Coturnix japonica: one gene and its partner. The protein of the gene in region 1 interacts with the protein of each later gene in a pairwise test. Links are inferred from orthologs where the notes say so. Each region holds a gene or a part of one and is shown on either strand. Other genes may lie near its edges.

Region 1 (3,648 bases):
GTTGGTTTAAAAAGCAATCCTTCAAGAATCATTTTTCAGACTTTCATAATGAAATAATGCATTTTTTTTCCCTAAGAACAACAGTGCTTTGAAAAGAACATTCATACGCCTTACCATCCATTCAGATATAATTACATCCACTTTCTCCAAAGGCAGATCTACTTCTTCAATTCTTCCTTTGATTAATGTAATAGTATTTTCAAGTTTATTTAATCTGCAAGTCATAAAATAAGCCAGTTAGTTCATATTTCCATTAGATGGTGTCAACAGAGATATACTGATGTCTCTACATGGCATTTCTTCCCTCCTCCCCCAAAAAAGGGCTAGGAGACAATATTATTCTCATTAGTCATGTTTCAGACAGAACGTTTCTATAGGTCTCCAAAAATTTCAGCACATTAAATGTCAGGCAAAGGAGGCAGGCAGTAGAACTGCATATCTCCAACATCTTGTGCATGCAAATGTACAGACTTCAGAGGCCAGGAGAAGAAAGAAGAAGCCAATTTACAATGATAGTCCTTTTTATTTAGAGCTGTTTTAGTTCTTTCTTTGACCTTTGTAAGTCTGGAGTGATTAGAGTTACTCCACAACGAAGGTGTTGTCCTCATTGGGATTTTTGCTGAAATTATCTGCAATGTTTAAAAACTTGAGTAACCAGTATTACAAACAAGGAATGACACATACATTCTGTAAAAGGAGGAAGGTATTTTTGAAGCTAAAACTGCATGCTAGTTAAATTGCTAGGTACCTATCCCCAAAGAAATTTATCTATCTGCTGCAGCTCCCATCTGTGCCCCTTCCCCCCACTGCCTGACATCTTACTCTCTCATACTGACTCTCAATGCAAATGAGTAATCACATTAAAAATTCCATTTAGAAGACAATAGGAGAAAGATCAGGAAAAAAAAAGGAGGGAAAGGGTCAGAGGACTGCTTGAACACGTGGGCTGTAGGAAATATCAATTAAATCCTTCACATGGGACAGCCTTCCCTTAGAAGAGTAGCAGTTCATCACTAATAACACACTTAGTTTGTAAACAGGAGTCAAACAAGTTCAAAGGGAAAAGTAAAATGTTAAAGAGCCATGACTTGTATCAGTATTCTAAGAGCAAAAAGGATGTAAAGATAACATTGTTAATGACACTGCACAAGGACATAATAAACCAGTATTTATCCTCAGTATTTTTTTAATTACATTTTAAATTGCAATTGTATCATATAAAGAAGGAGTTTACAAATAGTAAAAAAACCAACTTGGATGCAATTTATGCACTCCACGTTGCAACTAGTACTTAATATGGCACTTTTCTTAAGCAGGTATTTATTTAACAGAAAAAGGTTACAGCATCTGAGTGTGATATGTGAATGAAAATCCTTAAGTGCTCAGACAACTTTGTTTTATTTTCACACAAACTCACAGCCTCCCATATTATCCCACAAAGGTAAATTAGTGAAACACAGAATGGATAAATAAACTATTAAATGAGAGGAAAACCATCCAGACCATGAGATTCTAAAGAGACTTTGTATTACGTTTCTCAACTAAGTGACAGCCAGGTATCAGAGGTGTCCCTCAAGATTCAGTAGTAAATCTGACACCAATTAAGCAACCTAGATGATGGAACAGAATGCAGAGTTATAAGATTTCTAGATGAACCTCGACTGAGGAAAGTAGATGATAAATTACAGGGTAAAGACTGTAGAAATGAGCTGATAGGAACTCTGCAAAGGCAAAGGCCACCTCAGCTGGAATAATCCCACATAGCAAGACAGATTGGTTCTTGAAGGTTAGAAATCAACTCTTGTTTGCTTTTCTCCATTCTGTTCTAACAAGGGGTGCCAGTGAACAATCTGAACATAGGCAACCAACACGAGTTTGTAGAAATAATAACCAGCTGTGTCATAAATACAAGATTAGGAAAAATATTTTAATAGCTTTTTACAGCAATATTTACCATATGTGTTTCCCAGAGCTTTCCTACCTAATGATGTCCATGGCTTGATAAATGATTTCAGATTGGTCTACTCCAATTACTTTCTTTGCACCTGCTTTGGCAGCAAACATCGAGAGTATTCCAGTACCACAGCCAACATCCAAAACAACCTGGAATGAGTAAGCAACATATTTTTACTTCCATTTATTTCTTTTTCTCTGATTTTTCTACATGTCCTTCTACATCAGAGAAAGAACACATTCTAATGGAAGAAAAAGAGAAAAGGTAGCATCAGATCTTCCTATTACATTCAGATATCCAAGTCAAATCACAACTGTGACTTCAGATCTTCTACAGGATCCTTTGACTTTTACAGACAGGTAATAAGGCAGACTAGCTCCCAGTGCTGATGAGATCATTTGCACAAGAAAAATCATTGAAATAATTACTTAGGAAACAACTAAATGTTACATAAACAGGGGAAAGAAAAAAATTAGAGCCTGAAAAACTATTAGTGAATATTCTAACAACTGAATTTAGCACATTCAGACTTTATGGTTTCTCCTTAAGTCTACTGAAAAACTTGAATTATTTCCAGTATCTTAATTCCAACTATAGCACAAGATGATGTTGTATACATAAACATACACAAAGCCAAAAGCCTTTATATTTTAAGTAAATCTGTTAAGTAATTTCAACAGGTGTAAAAAACACAAATTAATTCTCCTACATTGCTCAACAAAGAACATCTGAAGTCGCTGAAAACTCAGATCTATTTCTTAACCACAGACTTCTCAACACTGAGAATGCATTTTCTCAACTATCAGTTTTTATCTTCCTCATTGGCTATGCCCTTCTATGTTGTTCTTCTCCAAAGTAAATTCACACAATGGTTCCTGTCTTACGTGTTAACATTTCTGACTTGAAATCATAATTCCATGCCTTCTATGTCTCATTCTTCCCTTCACCTACAAAAACTCAGTATGATACTTAAGAGGTACACATGCTTCAAAAGAACACAGAAAGAAAGAAAATGCCTTGTAATCCATAATGCTGGCATGCCTTACCTACTGGAACTACTAGAGGCAGTAATCAAAAAGATCATCCATTAGAAAGGAGTACCAACTTATTTCACTAGCTCTCCTCAGCACACATTCCACTGTTGTGAAATGGTCTATGTGTAGCAAAGGCTACAGAAGTGCCTGGGCTGAAATCTTCTGGAGACAGGAGTAGAAAGTGAATAGAATGTTCCTGCAGCTGTTGAAATCTCATGCCCCCAGAATTATCTGTTCTAGTACTTGACCACGCTAGTTAACAGAACTGCTGAGCCATGATAGCTGGAAGTCAGAGCCAAAAATAAACCTCTGCAAAAGAACGCTCTTGACACGCAGTTGCATGAAAAAGAGCAATCACTGCAAATGGGGAAAAAGAAATCAAAATGGACAACATTTGGACAGCTGCCCTGGTCACTTAAAAACCCAGATGGAACTCATCTAGACTTAGGCAGGGGATGGGGATGGAGAAAAAGGCAAGGGAGCGAATATGTACAAGCTGGAACATATCTGAGGAAGGGAAAGTCAAGCAGAATGATCACCAATTAGCCTAAGGACACGGGTCTGCAGCCAACACATTCTTGCAGTGATCACATATGGCCTCTCACCAGGGATCTGGAACAGCTGGACTGGTGATTTGACTGTTGGTGTGTTGGTTGATAT
Region 2 (3,943 bases), on another chromosome or scaffold:
ACCTCCCTCATTGGTGCTTCTCTCAAATCCTTGTGTTACACCTGTGAACTGTGATGTTCTATAATAAACTTGCAAACCCAAACATCTGCCGTACCATCCATTAGCACAGACTCATTCTTTGCAGAGGTATGTAAAAGAATCTTAGAATTCTTCCTTTTCCAGCTCTGCATTCCAGTTGGCTGCTACCACCCTCTGAACAAAGTCAGCTCCAGGCACCCATATATATGAGCTGTGGAACCCTGGGGGTGTCCCTGCTGGATTTCTCCACTACCACAAATCATTAGGGAGCACCCTCAGAGTAAATGTGCTGTGAAAGGAGTATAAAGGCACATTATATTCCCCTCTTTTTAGTTACAAACCCCGCTCAGGATTTAATACCTGATTAACAAGGGTTAGTGTAAAACATTCTATTCTACCCAGCAGATGTTCAGGCTGCTTCCCACAGATCTGAGCCTACTTAGATCCCAAGCACAGATGTAACCGATCTGCCCAACGCACAAAGCATCCAATCAAACCAATTTCTTGTCCACTGTCCACTTTATTGTCTTGTACAAAAACCACTTTAAGTAGTTGCCACAGCAGCTGCCTGGGTTCTCTGCACTGAGACTCTGGTGTGGGTCTTAGCCAGATGATCAGTGAACTCCTGGATAGAAAGAAAAACAGCATTTCATTTATGTACACCACTGTCATAACCTTCTCAGCATCGTAACCCACTGAAGGAAGAGCTGCATGTTTACCTGGTAAGGAGATTTGGTGAATACAGTCTCTTTCCAGAGGTCAGGAGTCAGGTAACTGTATGTCTTGGAGATGGCATCGAAGGTGGCCTTAGCTATGGAAACAAGTTAAACATTGCACGTCACTGTTAGAGAAATGAGCTCCTGTACACACTTACACAGCTCCAGAAGTGTAGAATTTCAGAGGGAACAGAGAGACCAGAAGAGGATCCCTGTGTTATACTCTTAAAATTCAGTTTCCTTTCTCTCTCCATATACGACAGTTACACTACTTCACAAAAGTGCAACCGCGCAGATTGGGAGATGAGGAGCTTCCAATTTAACACGGGTTTAAGTTACTTCCCTTTCAGTAATGAAAACAGCAACACACACAGAGCTGAACTACAACACAATAACCTCACACTTACCAAAGTTGCCCAGCGTGGCAGTGCAGCCCCTGGCTGATGTATAACAGTCATCAATTCCAGCCATCATCAGCAGCTTCTTAGGAACAGGGGCAGACACGATGCCTGTACCTCGAGGTGCTGGGATCAGACGCACCAGGACAGACCCACAGCGCCCAGTAACCTACAAACACAACAGGTTACAGCTTCCACAGCACACACACAACGTGACTCACATGCAATGCACAGCGAGATGCTCTTACCTTGCAAGGCACAGTGTGAGGTTTGCCGATCTTGTTCCCCCAGTATCCTCGTCTCACCGGGACGATGGATAATTTAGCCAAAATGATGGCCCCGCGAATAGCTGTAGCTACTTCTTTAGAGCATTTAACGCCCAGACCAACGTGGCCGTTGTAGTCTCCGATAGCAACAAAAGCCTAAAATCAAAGGGAAGCTTTCAACCGAGGTTTTGCCATACAGGAGAGCTCTCTCAGCACAACAACTCAGCAGGATCTCATCACAGATAACCAGAAGCACATACTAATATTTAACAGCTACAGCACACTACAATGAAGCAGCTATTAAGTAGCTCCTACAACTTATGAAGTTACAGAGTCTGGTAGGGTGATGCAATGGGCTGCACAGAGAGGCTGTGGATGTCCCTGAAGAATAAAGACATAACAAAATTACCTTAAACCTGGTACGTTGACCAGCACGAGTCTGTTTCTGGACAGGCATGATCTTCAACACCTCATCTTTTAGAGAAGACCCCAAGAAGAAATCGATGATCTCTGACTCCTGTAAGATTCAACCATTTAATCACACATTGCTAAGCTGCAATATCCAAATAACACAGAAAAAACACACAAATCTCGCTGCTCTTATCTACAAACCGGAGTAAAATCAATAGCAAAGTGGCTCAACTTGAGCTTTGTAAGTAATAAATAAGGCAACTAATGCCAGCTTTACAGTTCAGATCCTGCTACAAGCTGCTCACCAGCTCCGAGCATCCCCAGCATCTCACCTTGATGGGAAGGGAGAAGAGATAGATCTCCTCCAGAGACTTGATCTTCATATCCTTCACCAGGCGACCGAGTTTGGTGACAGGAATCCACTACAAAAGAAAGCAGTAAACAACAAAGGGCTTTTACAGCAGCTCCTATGGGGTGGGGGGGCTGTATGGCAGCACTACAGGGCACAGCCCGACATAACCCTGCCCTGCTGCTTCCACTTACTTCCTTATCCTCCGCTTTGCCCCCTCGGGCTCCCCGTCCTCTCCCTCGGCCCCTTCCACGGCCTCGCCCGCGGCCCCTCAGCCCGGTCCCGAAGCCGCCCCTGAATCCCCCTCGGGCGGCTCCTGCTCCTCCCGCAGCACCGGCGTCGTCCGCCATTTGCTGTATAGAAAGAGGTGAATTAGTCAGAACATCGCCACCATCAGGTCGAAATAACCACACGGCGAGGCCGCAAAGCCCGGCCGGGATCCATCCGGAGAGGTACGGCCGGCCCCGAGCCGCAGGAGGCGCCGATGGGCGCGGATGGAGCGGAGGCCGCACGCAGACGCCATTCCATCGCCCGCCATACTTACGTGTTTCAATAGTAGAAGGCCGCCACTTACCGCCGGTAGGTATTTATACCCAGGAAGTTCTCGCGAGAACACCTCTCTGAAGTGTCAACCCCGCGCGCTGAATGCGGAATACACTACAGCGCAAAGGGGGCGCGATCTGCTTACTTATACAGAGTGCGGGGCGGGAGGGCCGGGCGGAAGCTGTGCGCATGCGCCGAGCTTACGCATGCGTAGGCTCAGAATATAAAGCTGCGCACACGTGGAGCTGCGCTCCAATGAGCTCGGACGTAAGTGAGTGGGGTTGTTTGCGTGGGGGTGGGTGGGCGCAGCTCGTTCGGTTCTATTTGATTCTCTTGGCTTTTGGCGGCGTTTAGAGCTGTTCAGGCTTTGTTGAGGGCCTGGCTGTAGGCAGTGCTGATTGCAACACTGGGGGCCCTGGGTTCGAATCCCCTGTGGCGCAGGTGGTAGAAGTGCCGCTCTGCTACACAGAGGCTCGAATCCCGGGGGTTGGACTCGATGATCTCTAAGGTCCCTTCCAACCCGCACGATACTGTGATACTATGATAGGGGGTGGGTACTGAATGAGGGGCCTTTGGCACGGTCTGAAAATCACCTTTGGTCTCCCGTGGCCTCCGGTGAGATAACGGTGCCGACAGCAAAGGGAGCAGCAGAGCGTATCGCCCACGGTGACGGTGTGTGGGCAGTGAAACCCGTGTTCCCATAACGGCAATGAGGGGCGGCTGGGGCGGCATTGTAGGGTGATGTGGGCTGTGTGTGAGCACCGTGTGTGAGCTCCGAGTCTTCCTGCAGGTGGAACAGCCCGGCTGGGATCCTCCATGTGAAGATAGGACCAAAAGCACCTTCATGTGAAGGGCGGATGATGATTTAGGGTTGGAATACTAAGAAAATGTGCGGGATGTGGATAAAAGAACGCTCGTACCAACGGAGCGGAGTGCTTTCAATAAAGATTGACTCGTTTGAACGCTTATTCGAGTCCTGTTGTGCTTTCTTACAGTCCACAAGCCCTGTGTGGGGTCTGAAGGGTGTGGGATGGTGCTGTTAAACAGCCAGGACGGGCAGGAGGCTGCTCCATCCGCCGTCCATTCGTTAACATCCATTCATTAACCACAACACACACACAGAAGCAGCTCCGTACCACGTGACACTGAGGGAGGGCGCTTCCTTACTCTGCTCTTACGTCATCAGAGTGCGCCGGAAGTCCCGCCCTTTAAAACCCGGAAGTGGCCTGCACGCGGAGCGGG

Evidence for each region.
Region 2: the proteins of PRMT3 (region 1) and RPS2 interact in binary tests that used the Homo sapiens proteins (3 or more experiments, as listed by UniProt). The link is inferred for Coturnix japonica from reciprocal best matches to the Homo sapiens genes PRMT3 and RPS2.

The regions. Positions count from the first base shown.
Region 1 is NC_029520.1:1,703,712-1,707,359, reverse strand, and holds part of PRMT3 (protein arginine N-methyltransferase 3), read right to left. Parts: intron 2,104-3,648; coding exon 1,982-2,103; intron 215-1,981; coding exon 115-214; intron 1-114. UniProt on the Homo sapiens protein: Protein-arginine N-methyltransferase that catalyzes both the monomethylation and asymmetric dimethylation of the guanidino nitrogens of arginine residues in target proteins, and therefore falls into the group of type I methyltransferases.
Region 2 is NC_029529.1:6,101,646-6,105,588, forward strand, and holds RPS2 (40S ribosomal protein S2), read right to left. Parts: upstream 2,535-3,943; 5' UTR 2,509-2,534; coding exon 2,353-2,508; intron 2,232-2,352; coding exon 2,142-2,231; intron 1,916-2,141; coding exon 1,808-1,915; intron 1,555-1,807; coding exon 1,381-1,554; intron 1,302-1,380; coding exon 1,142-1,301; intron 830-1,141; coding exon 738-829; intron 644-737; coding exon 563-643; 3' UTR 519-562; downstream 1-518.